5 linked regions of the Canis lupus familiaris genome follow. Each later gene encodes a partner of the first gene's protein in a complex. Links are inferred from orthologs where the notes say so. Each region holds a gene or a part of one and is shown on either strand. Other genes may lie near its edges. The genes, in order: HRAS, RASA1, SOS1, RASGRP4 and MAPKAP1.

Evidence for each region.
Region 2: the proteins of HRAS (region 1) and RASA1 are in contact, whole or in part, in a crystal structure (PDB 8BOS), measured with the Homo sapiens proteins. The link is inferred for Canis lupus familiaris from reciprocal best matches to the Homo sapiens genes HRAS and RASA1. Residues at the interface, in NP_001123914.1 of Homo sapiens: Gly12, Gly13, Ser17, Ile21, Gln25, Asp30, Glu31, Tyr32, Asp33, Pro34, Thr35, Ile36, Glu37, Asp38, Ser39, Tyr40, Arg41, Gln61, Glu62, Glu63, Tyr64, Ala66, Met67, Lys88, Lys117; in NP_002881.1 of Homo sapiens: Gly746, Arg749, Glu783, Thr785, Thr786, Arg789, Ala790, Thr791, Glu799, Lys803, Ser833, Arg894, Gly898, Phe901, Leu902, Arg903, Cys906, Pro907, Leu910, Asn911, Met914, Arg928, Ile931, Ala934, Lys935, Gln938, Asn939, Asn942, Val944, Ala948.
Region 3: the proteins of HRAS (region 1) and SOS1 are in contact, whole or in part, in a crystal structure (PDB 4NYM), measured with the Homo sapiens proteins. The link is inferred for Canis lupus familiaris from reciprocal best matches to the Homo sapiens genes HRAS and SOS1. Residues at the interface, in NP_001123914.1 of Homo sapiens: Gly13, Gly15, Ser17, Ala18, Thr20, Ile21, Gln25, Asp30, Glu31, Tyr32, Asp33, Pro34, Thr35, Glu37, Tyr40, Arg41, Asp54, Ile55, Leu56, Asp57, Thr58, Ala59, Gly60, Gln61, Glu63, Tyr64, Ser65, Ala66, Met67, Arg68; in NP_005624.2 of Homo sapiens: Glu589, Lys602, Trp809, Thr810, Lys814, Leu822, Met824, Ile825, Arg826, Thr828, Thr829, Thr832, Glu836, Asn869, Leu872, Val875, Ser876, Asn879, Ser880, Ser881, Tyr884, Ser908, Asp910, His911, Tyr912, Lys913, Leu916, Phe929, Phe930, Gly931.
Region 4: the proteins of HRAS (region 1) and RASGRP4 are in contact, whole or in part, in a crystal structure (PDB 6AXG), measured with the Homo sapiens proteins. The link is inferred for Canis lupus familiaris from reciprocal best matches to the Homo sapiens genes HRAS and RASGRP4. Residues at the interface, in NP_001123914.1 of Homo sapiens: Glu3, Gly12, Gly13, Gly15, Ser17, Ala18, Ile21, Asp33, Pro34, Thr35, Ile36, Glu37, Tyr40, Arg41, Asp54, Leu56, Asp57, Ala59, Gly60, Gln61, Glu63, Tyr64, Ser65, Ala66, Met67, Arg68, Asp69, Gln70, Arg73, Thr74; in NP_733749.1 of Homo sapiens: Tyr228, Gly232, Val234, Val244, Asn248, Ser251, Asn288, Met291, Ala292, Gly295, Gly296, Cys298, His299, Ser300, Leu327, Ala328, Ser329, His330, Asn331, Asn332, Tyr333, Ala334, Arg337, Leu351, Gly352, Val353, Leu355, Lys356, Val359, Ser360.
Region 5: the proteins of HRAS (region 1) and MAPKAP1 are in contact, whole or in part, in a crystal structure (PDB 7VV8), measured with the Homo sapiens proteins. The link is inferred for Canis lupus familiaris from reciprocal best matches to the Homo sapiens genes HRAS and MAPKAP1. Residues at the interface, in NP_001123914.1 of Homo sapiens: Gln25, Asp33, Ile36, Glu37, Asp38, Ser39, Tyr40, Arg41, Leu56, Glu63, Tyr64, Met67; in NP_001006618.1 of Homo sapiens: Glu277, Ser278, Phe280, Ala286, His287, Gly288, Phe289, Ser290, Leu291, Ile292, Gln293, Arg311, Arg312, Lys313.

The regions. Positions count from the first base shown.
Region 1 is NC_049239.1:25,992,527-25,998,250, forward strand, and holds HRAS (GTPase HRas), read right to left. Parts: upstream 3,413-5,724; 5' UTR 3,358-3,412; coding exon 3,247-3,357; intron 3,069-3,246; coding exon 2,890-3,068; intron 2,767-2,889; coding exon 2,607-2,766; intron 2,520-2,606; exon of another isoform or gene 2,512-2,519; coding exon of another isoform or gene 2,449-2,511; exon of another isoform or gene 1,972-2,448; coding exon 1,852-1,971; 3' UTR 1,539-1,851; downstream 1-1,538. UniProt on the Homo sapiens protein: Involved in the activation of Ras protein signal transduction. Ras proteins bind GDP/GTP and possess intrinsic GTPase activity.
Region 2 is NC_049224.1:21,307,124-21,313,307, reverse strand, and holds the start of RASA1 (ras GTPase-activating protein 1), read left to right. Parts: upstream 1-2,758; coding exon 2,759-3,228; intron 3,229-6,184. UniProt on the Homo sapiens protein: Inhibitory regulator of the Ras-cyclic AMP pathway. Stimulates the GTPase of normal but not oncogenic Ras p21; this stimulation may be further increased in the presence of NCK1.
Region 3 is NC_049238.1:31,193,157-31,198,781, forward strand, and holds part of SOS1 (son of sevenless homolog 1), read right to left. Parts: intron 5,356-5,625; coding exon 5,274-5,355; intron 4,484-5,273; coding exon 4,361-4,483; intron 4,113-4,360; coding exon 4,009-4,112; intron 3,066-4,008; coding exon 2,843-3,065; intron 1,730-2,842; coding exon 1,610-1,729; intron 1-1,609.
Region 4 is NC_049222.1:115,412,747-115,419,017, reverse strand, and holds the start of RASGRP4 (RAS guanyl-releasing protein 4), read right to left. Parts: upstream 3,571-6,271; 5' UTR 3,430-3,570; coding exon 3,407-3,429; intron 440-3,406; coding exon 255-439; intron 1-254.
Region 5 is NC_049230.1:57,559,996-57,565,620, reverse strand, and holds part of MAPKAP1 (target of rapamycin complex 2 subunit MAPKAP1), read right to left. Parts: intron 2,479-5,625; 5' UTR 2,410-2,478; coding exon 2,151-2,409; intron 1-2,150. UniProt on the Homo sapiens protein: Component of the mechanistic target of rapamycin complex 2 (mTORC2), which transduces signals from growth factors to pathways involved in proliferation, cytoskeletal organization, lipogenesis and anabolic output.

The sequences.
Region 1 (5,724 bases):
CATAGCCTGCTGGAGACGCTGACCCCGTCAGCCTCTTTCCAGCGGGACCTGGAGTTCCCCACGAGGCCCCTCGGCCTGAAGCGAGTGTCCCCGGCGCCCAGGCCTCTCCTCCCTTCTCCGGCCTCTGAGCCACCGCCCAGGGTGGAGGAGCAGGCCTCCCCGGGCCCAGCCACCCAGCCTGAGCCGCCCGGACCCCCTCCCAGCCAGGCCATCGTCCAACTTCCCCCCCAGCGATGGAACTCCCTCCCCACCCTCCCAGTGTAACAAGACGGTGCGGGCAGGTGGCCCCCGGACACGGTGGGCTTGAAGACAAAAAACGGGGTCCCCTTCCCTTCGGCACCTGCCTGGGCCACCCCAGAGGCCCCGCGACGGACCAGGCCCTGGAGCACCCCCGGGACTCCCATCACGGGGTCCCCCCAGCCCCCTAGGGACGACGCTGTCGGGCCCAGGACACCCTTCCTGCCCCGCGGCCACTGCAGCTCATGCCTCTCGCTGGGCAGTGACGGGCACAGCCAGGGCAGAGCCAGGGCGGCGCTGAGCCCGCTGCCCCGAGGCCCCGCACAGGCCCGGGACCCTCTGCCCTCTGCGTCCACAGGGCAGCTCAATGCTCGCGGGCAGAGCGTGGTGGTGAGTGCGGGGGCCCAGAGGCTCTGGCCCGCCGTCACCGTGCCCTGCCTCATCTTGCTGTCCCTCCCGGAGGGCGGCACCCCCCGCACAGGACACCAACCCCTGACCCAGAGGGACCTGGGCTGGCCTGGCCCCAGGCTCTGTGGGGGCAGGGGCGACTCGAGAACTGCCCCCCAGGCCCAGCACTAATGGGATCCAGTGCTCCGGGGCCCTGGCCAGGCCTGCGTTCTGGCCCCGGGCTGAGCGAGCCCTCTCAGAGCCGGATGTGGCCTCCTGGGCCCTGGGCGTGCCCCACAGATCCAGGTCACTGACCTAGGGCAGCCCTGGGGATCCCGGGACACCCCAGGGCAGGGCAGCAGGGGCAGGCCCGTGGGCCCCACCCGCACCCACACCAGGAGGCAGGCTCCTCCACGTGCTGGGGCTCCAGCAGTCAGTCACCCGGCCCCAGTGGGCCCGAGGCCGGGGTCCAGCTGCCCTGCGGGGACCTAGAGCAGGAGCCCATGGGCCGCAGGTCCAGGCCAGCTCTGCTGTCCCCAGAACCGCCTCTCAACACCCCAACCTCAGGACACACACCCCCACCCGGAGTCCGCACAGGCTCCAAAGTGGGCGACTCCAGCACCCGTACCCCCGTGGGATTCCCGCTTTCCTCTAAGGACAGGAAGGTCTCCCAGGGGAAGGCGCACACCCTCGGCTCTGAGCCCGTTTGCTGTTGCAAGTTCAATAAGGTGTTGTGTGAAAATGCACGGCCGGCTCGTTTCTGCGTCTCCCGGAGCTCTGTGCACGGGGTGTGGAGACACCCCCAGAGAGGAGGAGGGGGGACCTCCCGGCCCCGACCAGCCCCTGCAGGGGCGCCGCCAGGCACACACAGCTGACGTCCCCACGTGCCTTGCAGGTGCGGCCATACGCCAGGGTCAAGACCATCAAATAATTTACTGCGACTCAGCCTTTGCCCCGCGGGCAAGGACGGGACTGGGGGAGAGTGACAGCCGGGGGGGCCCGTGGCCTCAGTTCACGACAGTCTGTGCAAAGCGCCCTGGGAGGTCCGTGCTCCCCCTGTCCAGGGGGCCTGGGCTGGCCGGGCCCCGGGGGCGCTTCCTTCCTTCCTCGCCCTCCTCCTTCCTCCTTCCGCGCCTCCTCCCAGCTTCCGGCACCTCCTCGCCCCGAGCCTGTGCGCCTGGGGCACAGAGGACCAGCGGGGCTGCCAACGTGGCCCTGGAGGGGACGTCAGGACAGCAGGCACTTGCAGCTCATGCAGCCTGGGCCTCCCTCGTCGGGCGGGCTCAGCTTGCGCACCTTGTGCTGTCGAATCTCTCGCACCAGCGTGTAGAAGGCATCCTCCACGCCCTGGGAAGACGGGGCTGGCTGAGCGTGCGGCTCGGCCCGGGGGCCTGGCAGCGCAGGGGACCGAGGGACCCCAGCGTCAAGCTCATGCATCATCCCAGCTCCCCCTGGCCTCTCCCCACCCCGCCCCCACACAGGCAGCCCCAGGGCTCCCCCCATCAGGCGGCTTGGCCCTCAGGAGCTCCCCCACAGGGCAGCCCCGAGGTCTGGCTCCCAGCTCTAACATCCAGGGTCCCGCTCCTGTCTGACCTACCACCCTGGTCCCCCACAGCCCATTAAAGAGGGCAGGGCCTACACGGGCCCATGGGGCTTTCTGCGGGCAGGGGCCAGGGCCCCAGGGTCACCACTCGGCCTGGCTCAGGGCAGCTCTCTCTGGGGACCTCTGCCTCTCCCTGGAGCTGTGTCAGCCCAAACCCTGGGCCCCGGCCTCCCTCGCTGCCCTGCCGTCCGGGGACACTTACAGCGCTAGGGGCCGCTGGGTCACGGGGGTCCCGGAGGGTCCCAGAGGGTCCCGGAGCTGGAGCCAGAGCCAGACCGGCTGCCCTGTGTCGGGGGAGAGGGGGCAATAAGCACTGCTCCCTGGCAGGGGCGGGGCGGGGCGGGTCCCCAGCTAGCTGCGGGGTGGGGAGCCGGCTCACCTGGCGCGTCTTGGCTGACGTCTCGATGTAGGGGATGCCGTAGCTGCGGGCGAGGTCCTGCGCCTGCCGGGACTCCACGGTGCGAGCAGCCAGGTCACACTTGTTCCCCACCAGCACCATGGGCACGTCGTCAGAGTCCTTCACTCGCTTGATCTGCTCCCTACAAGAAGGAAGGTGGGAGCCAGTCGGTAGGCTGCAGGCACGGCTGCATCCGAGACCCTGACAGAGAAACGCGATGAGAGGCAGAGGAACAGGTGGCTCTGAGGGCCGGCCGGAGGCTCACCTGTACTGGTGGATGTCCTCAAAGGACTTGGTGTTGTTGATGGCAAATACACAGAGAAAGCCCTCCCCCGTGCGCATGTACTGGTCCCGCATGGCGCTGTACTCCTCCTGGCCCGCTGTGTCCAGGATGTCCAGCAGGCACGTCTCCCCGTCGATGACCACTTGCTTCCGATAGGAGTCCTGCGGCAGGCCAGTGCTTCAGAACGCCCAGCCCCACACCTCCGAGGACGGGGCCACCCAGCCACCAGCCCCTCCTAGGTCCCCAGGTGCCACCCCCAGGTCCCACGAGCAGGGGCCGCCCTCCTGCGGAGCCCACAGCAGACATGCCCACAGCAGGCTCAGGGCTGGGCGAGCTCACCTCGATGGTGGGGTCGTACTCATCCACGAAGTGGTTCTGGATGAGCTGGATGGTCAGGGCGCTCTTGCCCACGCCTCCAGCGCCCACCACCACCAGCTTATACTCCGTCATGGCTCCTCACGGGACGCAGCACAGGACGCCAACGAGGTCTCCTGTCCCACCTGCTGAGGAAGCTGCTCTCAGCCCTGAGCCAGCCCCGTGGGGCAGACCACCCCGGCCCCGACCCGGTCCCCAGGCCCCACACAACCAGGGAACCGGGCGCAGCCGCCCACCTGTGGCACCTCCAGCGGGGGGGGCGGCGGGGGGGGGGGGGTAGGCACCTCGCCGGCGCTCATGGCTGCGAGAGAGCAGGGAGAGCTGACAGCTGAGAGCATCTCCCAACCACGCACCCAAATTAGAAGTTGCTGGGTAGGCAGAAAGCGTGCACTGGAGGGACCCGGAGGCCCTGCAGGCTGAGATTACCGCCCCTCCCCGCAGAAACAGGTCCTGCCACAGCGGAGTGCAGCAGCGTGCCCGGGCAGGCCAGAGCCCCGCCGCGCCTCGCTGCACCGGACTAGCATCTGCGGAGCGCCCGCGGCCGCCAGCTGCTGCTCCGGGGGCGAGGCCCGGGCCCTCCTGTCCCGGGGGGAGCCCCAGGCCCGCGGCCGCTCGAGCTTCGCAGGAGAGCAGCGGCGGGCTGCGGGGATGGCGGCCCCGGGAGCAGGCCGGCGGGGTAGGCGCGGGGACGGCGCTGGGCCGCGGCCTCCGGCCCGGCTCCCGGTCTGGGAGGTTTCGGGACGCGGTGCCCGGGGCTCCGGTGCGAACGCCCGGCTCGCCCGCTGTGCATCGCGGAGGCCGCCCGCCGCCCGGGCCTCGGGGGCGCGCCTGGCGACCTGGGGGCCCCGCACGCGGCCCGCGGAGGAGAGGGCGCGGACGCCGCCGCCCGGGGCGCCCCCGCACCCCGCACCTCGCACCCCGCACCCGCCGCAGCGCCCGCCCGCGGCTCACCTGCGCCCCCGCGCGCCCCGCCGCCGCCGCCGCCTCCACCGCCCGGCGCCGCAGCCCCGGCCGCCCCCGCCCCGCCCCGCCGCCCGCCGCCCCCGCCGCACTCACCGCTCACTGGCGCGACTGCCCCCGGGGCCGGGGCCGGGGCCGGGGCGGGGGCGGGGAAGGGGGCCGGGGCCGGGGCGCGCGGCTCGCCCAGCGCATGGGCTCCGTCCGCGGAGGGTGCGGCTCGGGCTGCGGGCTGCGGGCGCGGGCGGGCGGACACTCGGGGGGGAGGGCGCGCACGCCCCGCCCCGCGCCCGTCCGTCACGCAGGCGCGGCTCGCCATTGGCCGCGGCCGTCGGGCCACGCCCCCGCCCCGCCCCGGCCCGCCCCGCCCCGCGCCGGTTGGCCGGCCCGCCCGCCCGTCACGGGCCGCGGCCGGGCGGGGCTTCCGGGAAGCGGCGCGGAGGGCGGTGCCCGGCCCCGGAGGCCCTCGTGGGCCGCGGCCTGGGGGGGCTGGGCTGCGCCCGCGGGCGCTCGGCGGGAGCGCGAGAGGCGCGGGCCGGGGCGGCGGCCTCCGCGGGGAGCTGCCCGACAGGACCGCGGGCGGCGGTGCACCGGGGCGGGGGCGCTGCAGACCGGCGGGAGCCCGTGTCCCGCGGTGGGGGGCTCCCTGCGCCGCGAGGCCCAGCGGAGGGGTCAGGCCGGGAGACGAGGCTCGAGGAGGGTCAGGGTCGGCGCGCCGGGCGGACGGCCGGGACGGGAGGCGGGCGCCGGGGCAGGCCGGGCCGCGCCCCGAGCTCTGGGGCCTCATGGCCGGGGCTCGGTGCCCTACACCCCCGTTCCCATCAGGTGGCTCCGGAACGGGCGCCTGGCACCTCGGCTTCGTCGTGCGCGCGGCACCCGGGGCGCCCAGGCCACAAGGGGCAGCGCGGCGCGGAGCATCGTTTGATCCCGCCCCAGGGGTCTCGCTGGGCCGCAGCCTCGCCCCTCTCCTCAGCCTCCCCCTGCAGGCCGGCCCGCCCAGCCCCCTAGCCCGGAGGCTCCGGCCCTGCAGACGCTTGCGCGGGGCCCAGTTAACGATGGGCCCTCTGCAAACCAGCCCGAAAGCTGCCCGAGGGCTGCGTGCCGACGGCTCCCCCATCCGGAGCGCGAACACGCACACCCCGCATCTTTTCCAGACTTTCAAAAAAGACGTGGTTTCGACATTTTATTTTAAATTTCAAAGTAGTGCATCAACACACCGTGCTTGTTTACAAAAAGGAAGAACGGTGCAGCCCGCAGGAGGCCCAGGCTGGCCCCGCTCTGGCGGCCCTGCCCGCCCTCCCGTCCTGCCCCCTCCGGTGCCGGCGCGCGCTGTTCTCGTGGAGCCCCTCCCACTGCAGGCCGTGACCTTGGCGGGCCCCTCGGGGGGGGGGGGGCTGCCCCGCCCGCACACATCGCCTACAGCACGTGCCGAGGCCGTGGCCGGTTGGCCGGCCCGTGCACTGCGCGGTGGCTAGGACAGAGCCC
Region 2 (6,184 bases), on another chromosome or scaffold:
GCCTACATTCAAAGGCTGATGGTGGTAATTGGGATGGTAGTGTTGGAGGACTGGGATGCTAAATGCACTGTTGTTTTCAACCAGAGGCTACATGAAAATTTGTTGGGAGTGGGTGGAATAGGTACTTTGAAGTTTTCTTCTTACTTTGAGGGTCTAAGTTTAAAAGAAAAAATACCGTTCCAGGGAGGCAAGTGTAAGAAGTAGGACTGCATTATTCTGTTAAGTATTATGAAATTACTTCATTATGCATTTTCTCATTTCCCAACCACTTGTCTAGAATAGTAGGGCTTAGCAACACAATACCTACCTCTCTTATCCACCTACCTAATGAATGGCATGGAGTTGACTTTCTCATTTATTCTTCTTTCTTGAAGTGTTGCACACCTCCTCCTTGATTAGCATACTATAGTACAGTGATTCTTAAGTATGTCAACTTGGAGGGCCTAGTAAAACAGATTCCTGGGTTTTCCGTTTCAGAGGGTCTGGGATGGGGCCAAGAATTTGCATTTCTAACAGGTTCCTGGGATTACAGCTGGTCTAAGACCACTCTTGTGACTAATCAATCTTTGCTCTCTCAAGTGGTACACTGCATAAGAGGTAAGCACAATGAGAGTCCTCAGGATTAATCAAGTTTGTCAATGATTTGGCAAATAGGTTTGTGCAAACTTCTAAGAAAAGGAAATGCCTTGTGTGCACCTTGCCACCTCTTTCAGTGGCTTCCCTTTTTTTCCATGAGCCTGTTAGAGCCCCTACTCATCCCTTATGTACTCCTCTGTTGGTTGGATCATCTTTAGCAGAGAAAACATTGATCTCAAAGACCAATATTCGAAGGTAGTCAATGTGAGATTCCTCCTGGGAGAATTTATTTATTTATTTATTTATTTTTTTCTCCTGGTAGAATTTAAAAGAACAATATATGAATGCAAGGGGCAAATTGCCCGTACTGTAATTTCAAATAATGGGAGTGATTCTTCCACTTACATGAATGAACGCAATCGTTTATACATATTCTAGCATAAAAGAGGAAACAAAACCCATTTCTGGCTTTACTTAGGTTGAGACATCAGTTTATTGATAATTTTTGAAACTATGCATTATTGTCTCTGGCACTTTGCAACGTTGACATTGGCCTTGTTCAAGGTTCTCCATGCTTCACATATGCGTCCTGGAACAGGCCCCCTGCCTTCTGCACACAAGTGTTGTTTGTGGCACCCGCTCCTCTACACACGTCATTAGTGCCCAAGACCTGAGATGGCACAGGTAATTGTGTGTGTGTGGGGGGGGGGGGGCGGGGAGGGACATGACAGAGAGGAGAGATGGTGCTGTGAGTGAGGAAAACAAAACGTGTACGGTCTTAGAAATCAGAATTTGCCACTATTTCTACCAAAATTCTTAGCCCCCCCCACCCCGTAAGGCTCCCCTTATCTATTTCCTTTACTTCTCTTGAGTTTCAGAACGTAGTTTGAATTTTTTTTTTTTAAATACGTAGTGGGGGATCCCCGGGTGGCTCAGCGGTTTAGCGCCTGCCTTCGGCCCAGGGCGTGACCCCGGGGTCCTGGGATCGAGTCCTGCATCGGGCTCCCTGCGTGGAGCCTGCTGCTCCCTCTGCCTGTGTGTCTCTGTCTCTCATGAGTGAACAAATAAAACCTTAAAAATAAAATAAAATAAAACACGGAATAGTCATATAGTGATTTCTAGTATGCGACGAAAATCAAACAAATCGATAGCCCTGCCACTCCCCCTCGGCCCCGGGCCCCGGCAGCGCCGCTTCCTAAAGGCGTTATTTTCCACCAGCAGGAAGCAGGGCCCCGGCTCCGCGGCATCTTCCTTGCCGTCTTCCTCGGCGCTGCCCCCTCCCCTGCAGCGTCCCCGCCGCGTTCGCGGAGCCGGGCCCCCCAGCCCTCGGCCCGCCCCTCCGCGGCGCACGCTGACCCGGGGCGGGGCGGGGCGGGGACGGGGCGGGCGCCCCCCCGCGGCCGGTCCCCCGCACCGCGCGCCCCCGCCGCTTCCTTCCCTCGGGCCCAGCAGCGCGGCCGCCCCCGCGCCAGGGCCGCGCCTGCGCACAAGCCGCCCCGGCCCTGCTCCCCGCCCTTCCTCCCGCGGCCGGCTCCTCCTCCGGCGCCCCGCCTTCCTTTCTCTCTCTCTCTCTCTCTCTCCCTCTCTCTCTAGTCGGTTTCCGCGAGCGCTCCAGGTCGGCAGCCGCTCGGCCCGCTTCCCCGCCCCCCGCCCCTTCCTCTCCTCTCCTCTCCTCTCCTCTCCTCTCCTCTCCCCACCCCTCCCGCCTCCAGCCCCGCGGAGGATGCAGCGGCCGCCGCGGCCCGGGCCCCAGCAGCGGCACCGGCGGTGGCTGCGGTGGGGGTGGCCGGAACTGGGGTGGTGAAGCGGCGGCGGCGGCCGAGCGGGCGGCAGCCGCGCCAGCCGCTTCCTCTGTGCTTCCCTTCCTCTCTGGCGCGGCCAGGAAGTTTCTCACTAGTGTGCATGTGTGTGAGTGTGGGTGTGCAGGCTGAAGGTGCGGGTTGGCGTTGGTGCCGGCGGTAGGTTTTTTGCCCACTCGGCTTCCCGTAACCCGGGCCGCTCCGGAGCCTGGGCTGTGGCCCGAGGAGGGGGCGCGGCGGCGGGCTCGGTCCTTTTGTTGTCGTTTCCTCCGCCCGGGGAGCCGCCAGGGGGACGCGCCCGGGTGGGGCGGCTGGGAGCCCGGGCCTGCTGGCCCCCGGGGCTCCCGGGCGAGCGTAGAGCGGAGAGCGGAGCGGGCTTCAACATGATGGCGGCCGAGGGCGGCAGCGAGGAGGGCGGCCCGGGGGCGGCGGGGGCGGCGGGGGGCGGCGCGGCCGCGGGCTCGAGCGCCTGCCCGGCGGCGTGCAGGGTGAGGATGCCCGGCGCGCTGCCCGTGCCAGCCGTCGCCTGCTCCGGGCTGCCGGAGGCCGGCGGGGCCGCGCTGGGCGCCGGGCCGGGGGCGGGAGCCGTGGGGGGAGCCGGACTGTCAGGGGGAGGGGCCGGGGCCGGGGCCGCCGGGGCCGGGGGAGAGCCGGCCCTCGCCAAGGGCACCGCTTCGCTGGCTGCGGACACCTTCGGGGCGGGCGGCGCCTTCCCCCCGCTGCCGCCGCCGCCTCAGCTGCCCGCCCTGGGCGCCGCCGGCCTGGGAACCGTGGACGAAGGGGACTCCCTGGATGGACCCGAATACGAGGAGGAAGAGGTGGCCATCCCCCTGACCGCGCCTCCGACTAACCAGTAAGTGCACGCAGCCGTCCCGGGCCCGGGGACGCCGGCTCCTGGGCACAAGTGCGAACCCCTGGGACCTGCAGCTTTTCTTGCAGTTGCGATCCGTTGGTGAAAAAGTTTGGAGCCTTCGGGGTTGGCGTGCGTCGGGACTTGATTGGATCGCTCCTCTTCCCTGAGGGCGTGCACGCTGCCTTCGGCGTCTTTTGCATCTTTCTGGTTAGACCCTGGGAAGAAGTGAAGTTTTTGAGCTAGGAAAGCATGGAGAGTGGGGGGGGAGGGGGGGGAGGGGGGGCATGTGTATCCATCGGGAACCGGATACGGTGCTGCCTTTTCCAAGCCGAGGTTGCGTCCCCGGGGCTCAGCTGAGCTTGCAGCTGCCCGGGCCGTAGAGTCTCTCTCAGCCTGTGCGTGCATTCCCTGTTGAAGTCAGGTTATCCTTAGTCATAAGGCTTTGGGTATGCAAGTATTCCAAGGAGTATGGTATTGATGACCATTTTAAACATGCACCGGTCAGAAGGCTTTGCCTTTGTGGTGCTGTGCATCCCCAGCCTTTCGGAGGCAGAGCGATGCAGAAAAGTCTTCGGGTCTCTCCTGAAGATGTGGGTCGGCGAGAAAGGAAAGGAGTTCTGCGAATTACAGGTGTGGTGAAGGGTCTCTCTCCTCTTACGGGGTCTGTGACGTAGGCCGTGAAATTCCCATTTATTGATAACAGCCTGATCTTTTTATAGTTGAGGCTTTGTAAGCACAGTTCTCAAGTAAAATTGTCAATACTTCAATACTTTGTTGGTGGCCAGTGCAGTGTTCCATTTGGCAATCAGTTGCGACGGTATATTGCAGGGCATTTAGGGCAAATGGCTTTTTTCACACGGTGAGTACCTTCCCCTTGTTCCCTCCATAAGTGAACATAGGTGTGTGTTTGTAAAGGTGGACCTTGATGAGAGGAGAGTGTTACTGGGAAGGGGTAATAGATGGCAAAACCGTTCTTACGGATCCTTCACATCAGTTATTATCTGACCTTTAGAATTTCGACAGCCTTGGTGTATCAGAGGAAAAAATATTTGGTTCATATGATGACATTCACTCTGGACAATTGAAAGTATTTGTTTGTTTTGGATAAGCTTTGGAGGATTTAGAAAGGACTTAGAAAATGATTAGAAAAAGATTCTGTGATAATCCATTCTTAACCTAGGGCTACATCTTTTGATATTTAAGGGGGAAAGGTAAAAGTAGCCTGATTTGTGTCAGCCGTGGTATACTGCTCAGTAAGAGTTTAATTTTTTTGTCTAACTTTATTCCAACTTACCATGTTATGTGTTTGTTTTATAGACCTCTGAAGGTGTTCTGGGAGTGTGAAAAATTTGAATTTTACAGCACTGTTTACACACCTTCAAGCCTTTTTGAAAGAATCAGTAAATATTTAAGCGCTCACTACATCACTCCATGCTCAGCACTAGGGTTATAATAAAGTGCAACTTTTCATACTGAAAGAAGGCAGTCTTTTGCCAGTGTTTGTAACTGAGTTATATTAGGCATATTTGTATATTGTAGTTATAAATTTTTTTAAAAAAGTGATTTTGTGGAATGGTTTTAGGTTCACAGCAAAACTGGGCAGAAAATATAGTGTTCCCATTAGATTTTTCAGGATAAACATGAAGGAGTATTTGGAAAAATTTTTAGAAGTCTATTGTGTGAGGTTTCCATCATCATTAATATATATTTGGGAATAAAAATAATACTTGCATGACTGTATATATGAGAATCGTAAATGTTCTGAAAAGTATCCTCCATTTCAAGTATGTTTTTTAAATTTGTCACTGAGGAGTACAAATTACCCTCTTTTCTTTATCTTAGATATCAAACCAGAGTCACTGGAGGCAATACAGTGTAGTGTTTAAGGGTGCAAATTCTGAAGTTAGACAAGATTTGGGTTGGAATCCTGACTCTACCACTTATAACTGTGTGATCTTGGAAAGGTCAGTTTCCCCATCTGTAGAATGGGGATAATAATGGTACCTCCGTCATAGCATCGTTTTTAAGATTTAATGAGAACCCTGAAGTATTCAGTCAGCACAGTGCTTGGCACATAGTAAGTGTTCAGTAAATAGTATGCCAAAGTAACAGTAATATTTTATTGCCATTAAATTGCCTACTGATTCTATTGGTACAGGGAACTCCCTCACTGATAGTTACTTTAGGCAATGGTTCGTACTCCAGAGGTCTAGCTACCATGGTTAGCTATATTAAGAATTATGACTTCATAAAGGTTTCCATCAGGTTAAGTAGGTTTAGAGATGAAGTTCAGATCTTTTCTATGAATTCCTTTTTTTAATTTTTTTTTATTTTTATTTATTTATGATAGTCACAGAGAGAGAGAGAGAGAGAGAGAGAGGCAGAGACACAGGCAGAGGGAGGCAGAGGGAGAAGCAGGCTCCATGCACCGGGAGCCCGACGTGGGATTCGATCCCATCTCCAGGATCGCGCCCTGGGCCAAAGGCAGGCGCCAAACCGCTGCGCCACCCAGGGATCCCTGAATTCCTATTTTTAAAGGGCTTTAATGATTTGGTTAACTAATGCCAAATCTTTTGTAAGGTACTGAAGAAATGTTCTTCGACTAAGTGAATATTTGTTTACTAGTGAGTGGTCACCTTAGTTATTGCATAGCATGATATTAAGGGGTTCAGGTCACAGGTTTGAGTCCACAGTGGTTTGTTAGAGTAGAGTTCCCTTGCACATGGAGTTCAACCCTGTGTCCAGCTAGTTTGGTGCTGTTGGTCACAAGAGCCGTTAAATGACGATATATGGATGGACAAATGCAAATACCTTACTGCCATTAGTATTTTGTACCTTGTTTTTCTGCGTGCATGGTGAGTCATTGTCTCATGTTTATTACCGAGGGTTTTCATTAGTTTGGTTAAGGACAGAAAAGTTTATATAGTTTTAACTATTTATTTGAATATTTTCCTTT
Region 3 (5,625 bases), on another chromosome or scaffold:
TATTATCTAAAATGTCAAGTTTCCAACAAAAAACGAGGAGGCATGCAAAGCAACAAGAAAGTACAGCAGTCCCCACTCATCTGCAGTTTTATTTTCCCCAGTCTCAGTTACCCATAGCCAACCACATCCTACAGATGATCCTCCTTTTGAAGTATCAGCAGGTCATTAGTATCCTAAGGCTATGTCACATTACGTGAGCATTCACACCACTTAATCTCATCACATAGGCATTTTATCACCTCACATCATCACAAGAAGGGTGACTGTAGTACAGGAAGATATTTTGAGAGAGAGATCACGTTCACATACTTTTATTGTAGTATACTGTTATAACTGTTCTATGTTATTAGTTATTGTTGTTAATCTTTTACTGTGCTTAATTTATAAATTAAACTTTATCATAGGTATGTATGTATAGAAACAAGACATAGTATATATAGGGTTCAGTACTATCCATGCTTTCAAGCATCCATTGGGGGCCCTGGAATGTATTCTCCATGGATAAGGGGGAATTACTGGATGACCCATTCATAAGGTAAAAAGCAGGGAATAGTAATTGCCTGTGAGAAGGACCAGATGTCAGATTTAACAGAAAATGATTTCAAAGTAGCCATTACGAATATGTTTACAGAACTAATGGAAAGAAAGCGGGATTTAAAAAGTACAGGAAGATAGGATGACAGAGTGCAGCACAGAATATCATAAAAGACACAGCAGTAAAAAAAAAAAAAAAAAAAAAAAAAAAAAGACACAGCAGTAATGAAAAGAACCAAATGGAAACTCTAAAATTAAAAAATACAATAGTTAAAAAACTTACTAAAGAGGCTCAAAAGTACATTTGAACTGGCAGAAGAAATAATTAACTTGAAGATAGAGCTATCGTTCAAAAATGAAGGCAAAATAAAGACTTCCCCAGATAAACAAAAGCTGAGAGAATCTGTTGCTAGCAAACCCAGCAGAGGAAGACTACTAAACAAAGTTCTTCAGGGTGAAAGCAAGGAACCCCAGATGGTAACACGAATCCACAAAAACAGAGTGCTAGTGACAGTAATTAAGTGATTACATAAGATGACACAAATGCATATTTTTTCTCATTGCTTCTGTGAACTGATTTAAAAAGCAAACTGTATAAAATAATATGTATGTAATGTATCGTTGGACTTAAAAGGCATCTATATATAATACATTGCCAATAACTACATAGAGGAGGTGGGCCACAAACGGTAAAGCAACAATTGTTACAATGTATTATTATCAGAGTTGCCTCATTATTATATGTAACACATAGTACAATAATACCACAAAAAAGGAAGACAGAATAGGGCTACCTAGGAGGAACACCTCTATGTACCCTGGAATCAAGCTAGCACAAGTCTGCAGCTGATTCCGAGAAGATAAAGCATCCACTAAACCCATCCTCAAGAAACCATTAAATGAAATAAAAATACATTAAAAAAAAAGAGGAAAAAATACGTTAGAAAACTATTCTCCGTGCAAAACAAAGCAGGAATAGAGGAATAAAAAAGGACATGAGGCATACAAAAGCAGAACTGCATTTCAGGTTCTAAGAGCGGGCTGCTATGAAGCGTATGATGGCAGCACTACTTACTTCTCAAACCACAGAGTGAGATTAGTGGTGTGCCGGATCATTTTTAGAAGATTGGGAGAATTAATTTCTTTGTCTTCTTTTGTCCACACACTTCCAACTAATTCTGATGGCTGTACAGCTCTAAAATCATCAAGACACAATAATTCTACATGATACCTTTGCCTCTAGCACGCTGCTTTATTAAGTAAATGAGGTAAATAAAATCAAACACCCACATAAAACTTCTTTGAACACCAACAGAAAGGTTTATGAAAACAAGGCATAACAAAATCTTACAATTATGGGTATTTTTCTATTTCTATGTGTGTATCTATATACTTATATCATCACTTTATAGTAGCATTCTGCTTTGGGCAACATTGGGATTTTTCATAACATCTTTCCCAGCACTTACAAATACTATTTAATGAATTAGGGTGACAGTGTAATTTGGGATAGTTCTTTTAAATAATGGTATCTGTTATAATAATCAGTTCACTGAGGATATAGTAACCACTGTAATTCATAAATCTTTTTTCTTCCCCTAAAGGAGGCAGGGGAACATACCACAGAAAGCTCCTGCGAAATAAATAAAGTAGATTCTAATACATTAGGTTTTTGGGAAAGTGATGATTTTTGGAGCAGACAGAGATCTATAAATTAAGTTCCTTTTATTCATGTAGTTATTAAAAAATAGTTTGTTATTCTAAATTCTAAATAGTCCCCATTTAAAATGAGAAATACACTGAGACAGTAGTTACATTAATGCAGAAAAACTAAAAGAAGCTATGACTGGCCATAACTTAAGTTCACAACTACAAGGGCAGCAGCTAACTTACTGAATGTAAGTTACTTTGTGCTGGGCAATGTGCTAAGCACTTTATATACTGACTATTTCCAATCTAACAATGGCCCCAGGAATAGGTACTGTCATTAGCCCCATTTTAATCTTGAGGAAGCTCAGGGACACAAGAAGGCTCAAGTTGCCCAAGGATACCAAGCCGGTGATTGGTAAAGCCAGGATCTGCACTTAGCTTTACCAGCGGGAGTGACAACAGACACAACCTGTAAATCCAGGCAGAACAGGAGAGAAAGAAGGGGAGGCTGTCTATCCATCAAGGCTTTACTACTACACACTTCAGGCACTAGCTCATTTATGTCTTTTAACATTCCTATAAGGCAGAAACCAGTATTTCATTAAAAAAAATTAACTCCTTTGAAATGATTTTTCAGCTTGAATGTCAAATTACATACCGATACAGATCTGATTCAAGTAAAGTGAGTTGTCGAGCAATTTCTATTGGGTGTAAGGTGAGCAGGTCAAAAGTCTCTATGTGCCCAGGCCTGCTTATATGCCACTCGACTGTGGGAGGTGAACTCTGAAATGTAATATTATGACCTGGTCCATTGTCTCTTGCAATTTTTTTCCTTTGGATTATTTTAGTGATGGATTCAACCCATTTTTTCATTGCTTTACCTGAAATACATTATATTTTAAATGACATTTAAATACTTTTCACTCAATTATTTTATTCTTTTAAAATATTTTAAAATTAGACAGGTGATACTTAAATATATCTTTGCTATTACAAAGTTCAATGATCAAAATTTAAAAAAAGGAAGTTCCCCTTTACCATTTCCCTGTTCCCTATCCTAATCTCATGCTCCTTCCCATGGCTAACCACCATTAACAGTCTCGTATACATTCTTCCACGTCCTTTCTAAATAAAATTAGAAAGTAACTCATTCATAGAGATTTCTCACCTCCACTCTTCCAAACTTCAGTTCAAAATGTTATTTTATAATCCTCCATAAAAAAGACATGAGATTTATAAGAATAAACTATACACATTCACTGTTAACCTAATTAACATTGCATTTTATACACCAAACAGTGCCAGGGGCTTGATTCCTTCATGTTAGAGTTTCTGATGTGACTCTGTTTTGTACTATGCATGAAAGTACTCTCATTTAACTCTTTATTTTCTGATTCTCATTTAGAGTGCACTATGGAAATTAGAAACAAGTTTGTCTAGGACATTCTTAGACCTACACAATCATAGAATCTTTGAAACTCGAGGGGATATGATGACACACCAGTTCCTAATTGTCTTCTGGTACACAGACCTTCAGATAAGTGGAAAAATAGCATAAATTGAGACTTTTTTTTTAGCCAGTTCAAAAATAATCAGTAAGTTGATTTACTAAATGAAAATACACCAGGTCAACAGGGTGACTATTGAGGAATTTGTGAATCAAAACGTTTGATGAAAATTTTCAACTTTTTCAAGTGCTTATGCTGCCACTATTATAAACAACTTTTAACAACACTGAACAATAATGACATCAGTTGATAGTCACCATAGTGGTACTTTTACATGTAAAACTAGGCACTTAAAAAACAAAACAAAACACCATACCTCTCACTGTTCCAATAAATTCTTCCATTCGCTGCAAAAGATCTGCATCTCTTTCAAAATCATAGAAGTGGTGCTCCACCCAATGCCGACATACATTTAATACTCTATGGCATTAACACAGAAGAATAACTGAATTACATGGGAACTCAGACATAAATGTTTATCATGATGAATTGTGTAAATTAAAAGAGTAATTCTTTCCAAATTAAATAATTTTATCAGTGGCTTACACTTTTGCTTCCCTCATTTTACTTGTTACCTCCTCCTGCTTGGAAAGATCCTTATTTACTTCAATTCTGAAACCAAAGCTCAAGACAGACTTCACTACTTCAGTTATTTCATTACTGCTTACCGCAGTTGTACAGGCTGTATGTATTCTTTTCTAAACCTTTTTAGTTCTGCACTCAAGGGCTGATCTCCATTCTCTATAGCTATGCGATCAGCTTCTGTTGGCTCAGGCTCTGGAATTTCAAACCTAACATAAAACAGAACAAACTAATGAAAATACCAATAATATCAAATTATACAAACTGAAAACTACAAACCTTTTCACTAGTCAGCACAATAAAGAGAGCAATGTGAAAATTAACTACAGACATACATACATTATCAGTGAAAACAAGTAAGGCTTCTATAAAGGTTTAAAGATCTTACTTTAATTTTTAAAAAATAAATTAATATTTGCCAATATTAAAAAAATGAGAAACATAATAAAGAATACATGCAGAGTCTAAAAATAAATGTGATTATAAAGTTATGGGACTGCTGTTCATTTTTGGCTTGTGTAATCACTCTAAATCAGCTAACATAATACTTTTTAAGGGTAATGCTTAAAAAGTTGACTGTTCCTTGGGTGGCTGAAACACTTTTCTTGATTATGGTATTTGTTCACTGATAAGCTCCATTTTCTTCAACATGTGATATATTTGAAAAATTCTGTTTAGAACATCTAAATCATCAAAATTTAAGTTTCCAGAGCCTAAATTATACATTTTTATACAGTTCTTTAACTTGACTAATTCCATAAATTTGAAATTTCCCATACTGGGTTTCCATGTAAAAAAGAATGCTCATTTTTGTATTTCAATGATCAAAACTAAAAGATTATTATAATATAAATGGTCATCTAAGAGATGTTAGTTCTTAAAAAAGTACTCATGAACTATAATTTAAAGCTCATATAATTTATTTCTGAGAAACATGTAGGATCTTTTAGCTCAATCTCTTTAAAAAAAAAAGAATTTAAATATTTTACATTAACAGACCTTTCTATTATAAGACTCAGTAGTTCTTGAGGTTTACAAAAGGATCTGTATGTTGTAAGAAATGTCCGAACAAAATTGGGATCTAAGAAGAAAAAGGAAAATTATCTTATTAAAATCTTTGATTCAGAATGATTAAAGCTATTATCAACATTTTCAAAAGACAATGAACAATTTTAAAATTCCCAAAATGTTCTGACCACATAGAATGCTTTGGACTTTATAACAAATTGCTAGCCTAAGCCCTTACTAAAATCAGTGGCAAAACCAGTTATTAAGATTCTGTATCAACTTAGTTCTTGACCTCTGTACACTCTGAGTGGCTGAACTTACTAAACTCATCAGCCGCAGGAAT
Region 4 (6,271 bases), on another chromosome or scaffold:
GGCAGAGACCAGCACAGCACCTGGCAAGTCATGTTGTAGATGGAAATAGCACCCCACCTCCTCCCCTCATCTCAGGAAAAAGAAATGCATGTTTCACTGCATCCGGAATAGTGATCGAGATTCATTCCACACACCCTTGCTACCATTTTATGCGCCTCCCCCCACCCCCCCAAAAAAACCCTGAGACCTAGACAGAGGTTGGCTGCTTTACCGCCTTAGGACTGGGGAGGCTGGCCAGGGAAGGGGACACTCACCGAAGGACTGGATGCATTTCTCCAGCAGCTCATCTTCGCTGCAGCCGCCCTCGTTCAGCATGCCCAGAGCCATGGAAGCCATGACCTTGCTGATTTCCCGGGGGCTGGGGCACGTCTTGTGGCGCCGGGCCTGTCGGGGCCGGCCCCGCCCTGCTGTCTTTCCTGGGCATTCCTGGTGGGACTTCCTGTGGGCACACCCCCCAGGGAGTCATGGGAACCCCTTCCTTCGAGCAGACCCCCAGAATTCTCTTTAACTCCCCAAACCCCAAGCATCATGGGAGAAAACCCCTGGAGTATTCCAGGTCATGGGAGCTTTCTACAGGTAAACTCAAAGGGTTACTCCTGCCCACTTCAGGGAATCAGGGGAAAAGACTCTCACCACCACCCTGAACCCCCAGGAAATCATGGAGAAGACCCCCAGAATTACTAAGGGAATCATAAGAACTCCTTCCTCCGGGCATCAACCCCATATTCCCCTTGACTGTATACTCCCAGGGCACTATGGAGAGACTTCCTGTTGGCAGGACCCTGGGATGACTCTTGGCCTCCCAGGGGATTATGGGAGAAGACCACCCCTCCACCCCTCCTACCTCCACCCCCTTCATTCCTGTCCTTCCCAGGGCCTGCCTTCAGGGAGACTCCTCAGAATTCCCTTTTTGCTCTCCAGTGCTGGTCCCCCAGCCCTCATGAAAGCAGCAGACCCCTGAGATCCCATCTGTCTCTCCTCCCTGAGCTAGACCCCCTACTAGGGTGACAGCCCCCTCCCCCAAGCCAGGACTTTGTCAGGATCCGAGTCTTAGCCACCAGCCTGGGTCCCTCGGTTTGGAGAGAAGACATGGGTGCAAAGTGGCCTCACCAGGGCGTTTCAGAGCTGGGCAGGGTCCCCGGGGTGAGGCAGCTTCAAGGAAAGTTTAAAAATAACCATCTGCTCTGTCTTGTGCCTCTCTGAGGCTCGTGTTCCAGTTGGGGAAAGGTGGAAACAGAGACAGACATGGTGGAGGAAGGAGGGAGAAGAATCCAGGCTGAATGGCCTTGGCTTCCGCGAGGGTTAGACCACGCGGGGTTAGAGAGGGTTATGTTGGCTGTGTGACTCTGTGCTGGTCACTTAATGCCGCTGGGCTTCAGTTTCCTCATATGAAAAATGGGAGTCATCCTTGGACCTTCTCCAGGAATTTATCATGAACATTCAATGCCTTGCTTCTCAAAAGTGCCAAATACGGGACTTGGTTTGGGGCGCCTGGGTGGCTCAGTCATGTAAGCATCTGCCTTGGGCTCAGGTCATGATCTCAGGGTCCTGGGATCGAGCCCTGTGCTGGGCTCCCTGCTAAATGGGGAGTCTGCTTCTCCCTCTGCCCCTTCCCCTACTTGTGTGCTCTCTCTCTCTCTCTCTCCCTCTCAGATAAATAACATATATTTTTTAAAGGGACTTAGTTTGCTCAGGCTGTTAAGTGGCGGGAGATGGGAAAGTTGAACTTGACATCCAGAGAAAGTGATGAGGTGGACTAGAAGCTGGGCCTGGGGTACGGAGCGAAAGCAGAAATGGGGAGACCCTCATCACAAGGGCACTAACACGGCCTTGGTGCATCCTAAGGGTTCAGGAAATCAGTCCTGAATGTTCTTGAGCTGAAATTTACTGAGTATTGGGATCCCTGGGTGGCTCAGCGGTTTAGGGTCTGCCTTTGGCCCAGGGTGTGAAACTGGAGTCCTGGGATCGAATCCCACATTGAGCTCCTTGCATGGAGCCTGCTTCTCCCTCTGCTTCTCTCTCTTTCTGGGTCTCTCATGAATAAATAAATAAAATCTTAAAAAAAAAGAAATTTACTGAGTACTGAATGTGTTCCGGGCAGAGGCTTGAGCCCCCGTCTCCATCAGTGGTTCTCAAAGCGTGGTCCAACCCATGCCACCGGCACCACCTGGAAGCCTGATAGAAATACAAATTCTCGGGTCTCACGAAGAGACCTCCAGAATCAGAAGCCTTGGAGGTAGGCCCAGCAATCTGTGTATGTGTTTTAAAGATTTTTTTACCTTTAAGTACTCTCTATCCCCAATGTGGGGCTCGAACTCACCACCTTGGTATCAAGAGTCACATGCTCCACCGACTGAGCCAGCCAGGCGCCCGACAATCTGTTACAAGCCCTCTAGGTGGTTCTGATGTGTGCCCACTAGACCGGCTCGCTGAAGACTTCTGAGCCTCTCTGAGGAGGGACTAGGATTATTCTATTAACAGAGGAAGATGGGGCGCCTGGATGGCTCAGCCGTTGGGCATCTGCCTTCACATCCAGGGCATGATCCTGGGGTTCTGGGATTGGGTCCCACATGGGGCTCCCTGCGTGAAGCCTGCTTCTCCTTCTGCCTGCGTCTCTGCCTCTCTCTGTGTGTGTCTCTCATGAATAAATAAAGAAAAGAAAAGAAAAAAGAAAAAAAGAAACAGAGGAAGAAACTGGGGCACAGAGCAATCAAGTGGCTTACCTAAGGTCACACAGCCAGAAAAAGAGACAGCCAAATCTCTACCACCAAACTGCTGGATATCATGGGGAGGGGACCCCTTTGCCCATCAGAGACACGCCAGAGGGAGGCGGCTGGAGGAGCTACCCAGGCTAGGGACCCAGCCACCGCCGCCCCGGGAGCACAGCAAAGCAGCTTGTCCAGGCGCTAGGAAGCCCGGGCCAGAGGCCGCCAGGCCCTCACCTGTGACTGTCCGCTTGCTCTCTGTAGTGCCGGGAGCAGCCAGGAGGGGTTTAAGGAGCAGGGGAGCCGCCTGGCCCTGCGTCACACTCCCCTCCCCCGGGGCAGGGCCCTGCAGGAGCCTGGAGTTTCCAGCCCGGGAGCAGGGGGCAGCAGCAAGGGAGCAGCGCTGATGGGGAACGGGGAAGGCCCCGGGGAGGACGGAGACACCCCATCTAGGGGGCGAGGACGAGCGGGGCGGGGCAGAGGGGATACGAGCTGCTCGAACTGCAAAGGCAGATGCTCCAACAAGCAGCCCCAGCAGCTCCTCAGTCCCCGAAGTATATGGGTCACCTGGTGCCCCTGCTCGTGCGGCTGCCCCCGGCCCCGGGGCGCCCCCGGCTTCCCTCGTCCTCCCCAGCCTTCCCAGGCAGCGGGGGCCCAGCGGCTGAGGGCGCTCCCGCTCTCCTTGGGGAGGGTCCTCTCACCTCTTGCTGTCTTTCCTGTTCATGCTTCCTGGTGCGGGGGAGGGGGTCTTGCAGGAGTCTGGCTCTGTTCCTCCCCCTTCCCAATGCTCCAGCTTCTTAGCCCCTTGGGAGCTGGGGCCTCCTCGGTGCTTGGGAAGGAAAGAGGAACTGCCCCTCCCCACCCAGCCCCAGGCCAGGGGGAAGGAAGAGGCTGGGGAGAGACCAAAGGTCCCCCCTCCCCCACATGGGGATCCCTTCGGGCTGAGGTTTCCGGTGCTGCCGGCCCCCACCCCCAGGCGCCCAGCGGGCTCTCTCTCTATCTCCCCCATCTTTCTGTCTCTAGACCCGTGATTCTCTGTTCTGCACTGCTGTTCTTCAACAGAGCTGGTTGTTTTGTTTTTTAAGTCTCCCTGTTGTGACACATTTAGGTAAAAACACATACTCAGAAAGTCTGTATTTCTGTAGGGATGTATTCATGTATATAACACACAAAGGCTCGAATGGGAAGGCCCAAGACCTAAGACTTTGTACATTTCTCCTTCTTTTTCTTTTTCTTTTTTTGAGATTTTATTTATTTATTCATGAGAGACACAGAGAGAGAGGCAGAGACATAGGCAGAGGGAGAAGCAGACCCCCGGGATCACGACCTGAGCCAAAGGCAGACGCTCAACCACTGAGCCACCCAGGCGTTGTCCCATCTTCTGTTTCTTTTACTCCTGGTTTCTTTTTAATGATGCCATGTGTATCCCAGGAAACATTTTCACTGTATTGTGTTCTGTTGTAACAAAGCCTTATGTAGTGCCTACTGCATACCACACAGCGTTCTAAGGGCTTTTAAAATATTAACTCGTTTCATCATCACATCGTTTCATCAATCTTAAAGACTGTTCTCTTATTATGAAAAACATTACAGAAGGAGGTAAACCCTCTGGGGGCCGCTTCCCCGGCCCACTGTCCCTCTTAGGCAGTGGTGACCAATATCGAATATTGTTGGGTTTCATCTGATCTGTTGGCTGTGCATTTGTTTAGGTATATAAATTCATGCTCATAGAAACACAGACTTTTCTTTTGAGTATGTGCGTTTTTTTCCTTTTACTTAAATGTGTCATGCTTGACCTTTTTAAATTGAAATACAAAAAAAGCACAAATCCTAAGTGTTTAGGCTGATGCTTGTGAAAAACGGAGCGTATCTATGTGGCAGTGACAAAATCGAGAAACAGAACGTTCCATCTTGCCCAAACCCCCTGCACAAGCCCCATCCCAGCCCTACCTCCCAAAAGTTACCACTAGCCTGATTTCTAGCAGGGTAGTTTTGCCCGGGGTTTGAGTTATTTATAAATAGAATAACTGATTGTGTCTGACTTCTTCCACTTAATAACCATGTTTTTTTTTTTAATTCTTTCATGTTTTATACTTGGTTGTAGTTATTACTTTTTTTGTTCCTGCATTGTGATTTACTGAGCAATTTTCCTGTAATGGACAGGTGAGTTGCTTCCAGCGTGGGGCTATTGTGAGTAAGACTGCTATGAACATTCTAGCACTTGTCTTTTGCTGAACATTCAAGTGTGCAATCCTGTAGGTGGATACCCAGGAGTAGAATAAATGGGTCATAGTAATTAATATGCTTCTGCCAAACCTGGTGCGTTAGTCAATTCAACCAGAATGCTCTTAGAAGTATGTTTTCACTCTCTCTTTTTTTTTCACCAAAAGAAGTCACCATGGATTTTTTTTTTTTTTACATGCCAGAACATTTCATGTCTAAATAGACAAGAACCGAGCTCATTTTGTTTAACTTTTCCATTACGTGGCATACCCCGAATAGTCTCAGGCCTTCTCACTCTTTCTCTTCCTCTCCCTGCCTCCTTATTTACCCCCTCCCTCACCCCATCAAGTTTCAAATGGTGCTGTCCATGATGTGGCTGTCAGCCCATCTCCCCAGCACCTGCATCATACGAGATGATGTAACATTGCTGGCTGAACCAAGCTTGGTTATGTCTCCATGTACCCTCAAGCCCCAACCCCTGGAGACCCAGAGAAGCCTCAGGGAGGGAGGTCAGAAAAGGCCCTGGTACAAAGTGCCACCCTCAGGGCCAGCAAGGATGGTTAATACCACCAATAACACCATCAACCACAAAGGAAAAGACTTCTGAAGCAAACCACAGAAACTCATAAGGAAGAAAAAGGATGCACTTGCTAATATCAGAATAAGGATTTCTTTTAACGAGGACACCGGGGGACGAATATCAGATGAGATGACAGAGCAAGAACAGGTATTTACAATATCTAAAATCAACGAGAGAATAATCTTTAGAAGGTGAAAGGCACAGCTGCAAACCAGCAAAAAAAAAAAAAAAAAAAAAGACACCAACTCTGATAGAAAAATGGGCCAAGAGAGTGTGAGCAAATGACCAGGAAACCCCAAGACTCTGATAGGCACCTGAGAGGATGCTAGAAATTCTTGGTAACTGATCAAGGAAGTGCAAATTAAAACAGTGAGTCATCCCATCGGTCTGGCAAAGATTGGAAGTTGGAAAATGTCAAGTGAAAGTTGGAGATGTGGGGCCCTGGGAACTCTGCTACTGTGGGGCCATTCCCAAGGGCCACTTGGCACTACTTAGTCAAATTCAGTGTGTGCTTGGAGCTACCACCCAGCAGTTAGCTCCTGGGTGTGCGTACTGGAACATTCGTTCTCAGTCCCGTGAAGAGACATATAAGGATCACATGAGCCAGGGGCAGCCCAGGTGTCACCCCAAGAGGATAGATGCCAGGCAGTCCTGCAAAGCCCCCATAGCTACAGAACAGGTGTCCATAGAGCAACACGGGTAAGTCTCAAAACACATCATGATGACTGACCAAAAAAACCCAAACACTATTAATATCTTATGA
Region 5 (5,625 bases), on another chromosome or scaffold:
AGAATAATAAAATGTGAAAACTTCTGTGATTAATATGACATTTCATTATATAAATCATTAATAACGGTCTTAAAGGAATTTTAATGCACAAATGAACTGAAGTGAATATTACATTACAGGAATAAAATTACTGTTATGAATTACTCTACCCGTTTCAAAAATTAAAGATAAATGAACTCAGACTAGACTATTAAAGTTTTAAATATAAAATCCTTTATCTAAAAATCATGAAAATTATAAAATGTCAAAGCTATATAAATTAGCATAGCTTTCCTTCAGTGGGCTCAAACAGTTTATAGGTAGTAAAATAAATGATTTGTATCTTCGTAACATTAGTCAAATCTTAAAAAGAATAATTTTTCTTATACAAAATTTTAAGATATGCTGAAAGGATTAAAAAGTACATTCTTTGGTCACTAGGACACTCCACAATTGTAATTATTGCATCTAAGTGCTATCTTAAGAAATTCCAACAAAAGCATCACCTAAAATCATGCATTTGTGAGATTATATTACCACTGGCTGATCAACCTTCAAAAATCAGTGAACCAAAAAAAAAAAAAAATCAGTGAACCAATCTTTTATTAAAGAAATATTGTTCAGCATATATTAACAACTACTGCATAGGAAAACCACAATGGAAAAGAAAGTCATAATTGATGTTATTTCTCGAGTTAGCTTCAACTTCCTATCCTGGAACAATGCTAACAAAAAATAAGTAAATTTCTCTTTCAACCTCTTGCAAGGTAGGATAACATACACGCCTGCCTTAGCATTGTGGTAGGGAAATACTGAAACTAGTCTTGCCATAAATGTAAACTGTGCCAGCAAAAGCATTTTGACAATGTCACTATATCTAACCAAATTCCATTGAAGGAAAATACATTCAATTGCAATTAATAAATGTGAAGGGTACAGCCAAAGTAATACAATCAGAAAGCTCTCAATTTAGCAGCATTCTCCTTCTGAAATCCATTTAACCTGTCATATAAGATACCACCTCAATAACTTGCAAAGGAAGTCAGTTTCAGCTAGAGAACTGAGAATCAATGGTTCTAAATTATATTCAAACCTTCACTCAAATCCTATTTTGATAAAAGTTCTTTGAGCTACTGGGAAATGCTATTAATTATTTTCATCATGAGAGCAAATTATTCTTTGGAGATGTCACAGAATGCTGAATTCCGAACCAAAACCTTAACATGCCTTGCACTGTATATTGTATCCTGCAGTACTTCTTTAAGTACATTTTACATTTTGACCACGAAAATAAACATGTAAATATTTTCTATGATCTACGACATCTCCTACCATTACTTTTCCTGGGAGTTAGCAGGTTACTCCTACTGATTAGTGGAGATTATATTTTCTGATTACCTAATAAAAATCATCTCCTAGAACACCCTGTCATATCAGAACTACATTATAGATTCTAAATAACTTATCTAAGTAAAGGCCTTGGTTCATCACATTCCCCTTGAAAGATTTCCAAAACACATAAGCTGGAAAATAGGCATTGATAAGTTTTTAAAAGCTAATGATTGAATATGTATGTACCAAAGAATAGCATTTTCAAGCCACAAAGATCAAAGGGTAGAGACCAATTTAAGAAAATAAAGATAATATATCAAAAACAGGGGGATTGCTATTAAAATCAGCCCTAACAAATATTCAGCTATTTACCTCCAATCCTCCCCCCACCCTCCCACAATCCCTCCAAGGCCAAAAAATGGCTCCAGCAGCATCATTCCTTGGCTAGTCAGCTCTCTGTATTAAAGGTTCTTTATTATGTCAACCTGAAACCGGCTACCAGGTAGTCTACCCACTGGGACTAATGTTGCTCTATGAAAATACTCAAAACAAGTCTACTTCTCTTTCTACGTGAGGACTTTTTAGAAACAGAACATCCAACATGCCTCTGATAGCCACCTTTTTTTATCTATTCAGTTTCTACTTCCTTTAATAACGCCATTCCAGAGGCACTCTCCATTCAGTCACAGAAATGGGAGTTGTTTAGACTCACTGTAATACATGCATGTTCCAATTAATAGACACTTTCCCCATTAAACCTATTCCAACAATATGCATTATTCTGTAAGATTATTGACTGATTTAAAGTTCAGAAGACATGACTAAAAGGCAATGTTTACCTGTATTTGAGCGTCTTCTAATACCAAAGTCCCAACTTGAGGTAATATCGACTGACTGGGCATATACATAGCCCTGAGTCTCACCATTGCTTCCCTGAATTTCTGACCCACTGTCTCCAGGCATTGAAGGAGGATGAATCTTCTCTAGGTCAACATCATGATCAATGAGAACCATTTCACACATTCCTGTGTCATCACTGGTCACATGTGACTGTCGGATATGAGCTAGAATGATAGTTGGATTGTCCAAGAAGGCCATCCTTTCTGTGGGCCAATTTCCTTAAAAGGCTATTTTCTCCTCTTCATATTGTTTCACGTGCTCACCTCCCTAGAAACATGATGTACACAGCAATATTTAAGAATAAAAAAGAAGATGACTGAATCATTTTTCAAACAAATTCAATGTGGTACAATGCTACCTTGAAAATCAACATTTATCCCTGTACCTAGGAGCTTACAAGGATTAAGCCTAAGCTGAAAGGAAATCCTTATAAACACTAGGGGCTACAGCTCTAGTCAATGAGGGTGGCTTCCTCTTTTGCAAAACAAATTAACAGTGACTCCTTAGACCACTCAAAGCACATAATTACTGTTAAAACAATAAATTTTCCTTTCTTTCTCCTTCATTCCAATGCAGTCTCCTCATTACTCTATAAGGTCACAGGGGAACAAGTCGTATTTTCCTCAAATTATGTGTGAAAGTATGAAACTGTCCTTTCTTTTGTTTACTTTTTTTTTTTAAGATTTTATTTTATTCATGAGAGACACACAAAGAGAGAGAGAGGCAGACACACAGGCAGAGGGAGAAGCAGGCTCCATGCACCGGGAGCCCGACGTGGGATTCGATCCCGGGTCTCCAGGATCACACCCTGGGCCAAAGGCAGGCGCCAAACCGCTGCGCAACCCAGGGATCCCCAGGCATTCCTTTTGTTAACATTTCATCTTTGTCTTTGTCATATGGTTGTGAGGCAACTAAAAGAACACAGACAATACTTTGAGTTACTAGGAATTAAAAAAAAAAAAAAAAAGAACCACCAAAGTAATTTTGTTCAATAAACACATTTTCCTTTCTTCTGGTTTAACAGAGTATTGTGCTTTTATTTTATTTTATTTTTGGGAGAGAGGGAGGGATAAAGGGAGGGGCAGAGGGAGAGACAGAATCCCAAGGAAGCTGCACACAAAGCACAGAACCTGACATGGAGCTCAATCTCACAACCCTGAAACCATGACCTGAGCAGAAATCACACTTAACTGACTGAGCCGTCCAGTCGCCCCAGTATTGTGCTTTTATTTATTTATTTATTTTTAATTTTTATTTATTTATGATAGTCACAGAGAGAGAGAGAGAGAGAGAGGCAGAGACACAGGCAGAGGGAGAAGCAGGCTCCATGCACCGGGAGCCCGACATGGGATTCGATCCTGGGTCTCCAGGATCACGCCCTGGGCCAAAGGCAGGCGCCAAACCGCTGCGCCACCCAGGGATCCCAGTATTGTGCTTTTAAAATAAACTTTACTAATCAAACTTCTCTGCTACCAAATTAATTTCTTACTTTAGAAATCTCATTGTAAGAACTGCTTCCTGAATCTTGTTGAAACTAAAATGATGTATATTCTGGGAATAAAATGGTACCTCCTTAGTTAAATGGGAATACTCAACAAAGAAAACATGGTAGTCTCTTCTCATCTGTGGTTTCATTTTCTGCAGTTTGTTGTTACTCATGGTCAACTGCAGTCCAACAGCAGATGATCCTCCTTCTGATGTACCCTGACAGTCAAAAGTAGCCTAATGCAATGTCACAATTCCTAGGTCATTCACCTTACTTTTGACTCATCACATAGGCATTTTATCATTTCACATCATCACAAGAAGGCTGAGCACAGTACATTAAGATATTCTGAGGAGGGAAACCACAGTCACATAATTCAGTATAGTTGTAATTGTTCTGTTTTATTATCGCTATTAATATCTTACTGTGTCTAATTCGAAAATTAAACTTTATCATAGGTATGTATGTGCAGGAAAAACAATAGTACATATAGGATTTGGTACCATCGATGATTTCAGGCATCACTGTGGTTCCTGGAAAGCACCCCCTGCAAATGATCGAGGACTACTGTATTAGAGGACACTGGTTAAGAGAAAGAACTGCAGGCAGAACTGGGTTCAAATCGTGCCCCTACCACTAGCTGGCTATGTGATCTTGGTCAAAACAACCTTAACTTATTTGAGCCTATTTTCTTTCTTCATTAATAAAATGGGGACTCCAGGAATGAGAAGATGTATAAGAGATAATGCAGGGAAAGTGCTCAAAAGAGCACCAGGCACATAATTATTAGCTGCTTTTAATAATAACAATGATGATGGTAAAAAATAATAACTTCGGCTTTCAATTCTTGTTTAAAATAATCCTAAAATATATCAATATTCATCCTTCTTTAGTAAGTGCACAGCACATAAAATAAATGTGTGGTTCCTTTCTGAAAGAGGACTCTGCAGGTCACCAGGGTCAACTTCTTCCTCCTCCTCCAAAATCATTATGAGATGCAAGGAACATGAAAACTGGATTGAATATGTTCCCAGAACAGTCCTAGAGGTATTTATTTTTAGAAAGGCCTACAACACCAGATTTTCTTGTTATTTGTCTCTTCTAAAAATGAAATATGGGGGAAATCCAGTTAATAAAGCATTATAACCAACAAAGGTTTTAAAAACTTTTGTCTAGTAACATTCTAATGACATCACTCGGTAGATCTTAAAGATACCAAGATTAAGAGAAAGTATAATTAATCAAATTAATTACACTAATCTTCATTTTTTTCCTTCAAATATATTTACTGAGTAGTTATTTTACACAGAGGCTAATGGGAAATGCCAAGGAAAGGTATCTCTGAATCAAAAAGTTTATACCCTAACACAGTCCTAGTGTATTTAATATAATGAGATTCCTCCAAGTCTCAGAAATGTTAATGTCAGCCTACCATTTTCAGTGTATTAATCAGAAAAACATTACAGAATTAAAGAGGAGCATTTAAATTTCACTTGTAAAAATAAGAATTACTTATAAAATCATAAAGAGATGTATTCAATCATGGATTTACTTATAAATGAGAGCATTTGTTTTCTAACAAAATCATAGCATCACAGATGGCCAAAACTGCAAACATCCTCATAGCAATCACAGTAAGTGTCTCTCCCACGAGAGTAAGGCAACTAGTCGCTAGCAGAGGGGCAGGTACTTTCAATTTCATATTGAATAGTTTTCTCTTGTGAAAAACAAGGGCTTCAATGAGAAGCTACACATTTAATGGGTGTTCTAGCACCAACAAGTCAAATGGCAAAGGGCAAAGAAATAAAAGTATACTTAAGTACACTCAACAGAATGTGCATGTGTTTGTTTGTTTGTTTGTTTGTTTGTTTTCCGGAAAATGGATCTGCTCCATCACCTCTTAGGAAGTAAAGAGTCATTGGAAAATA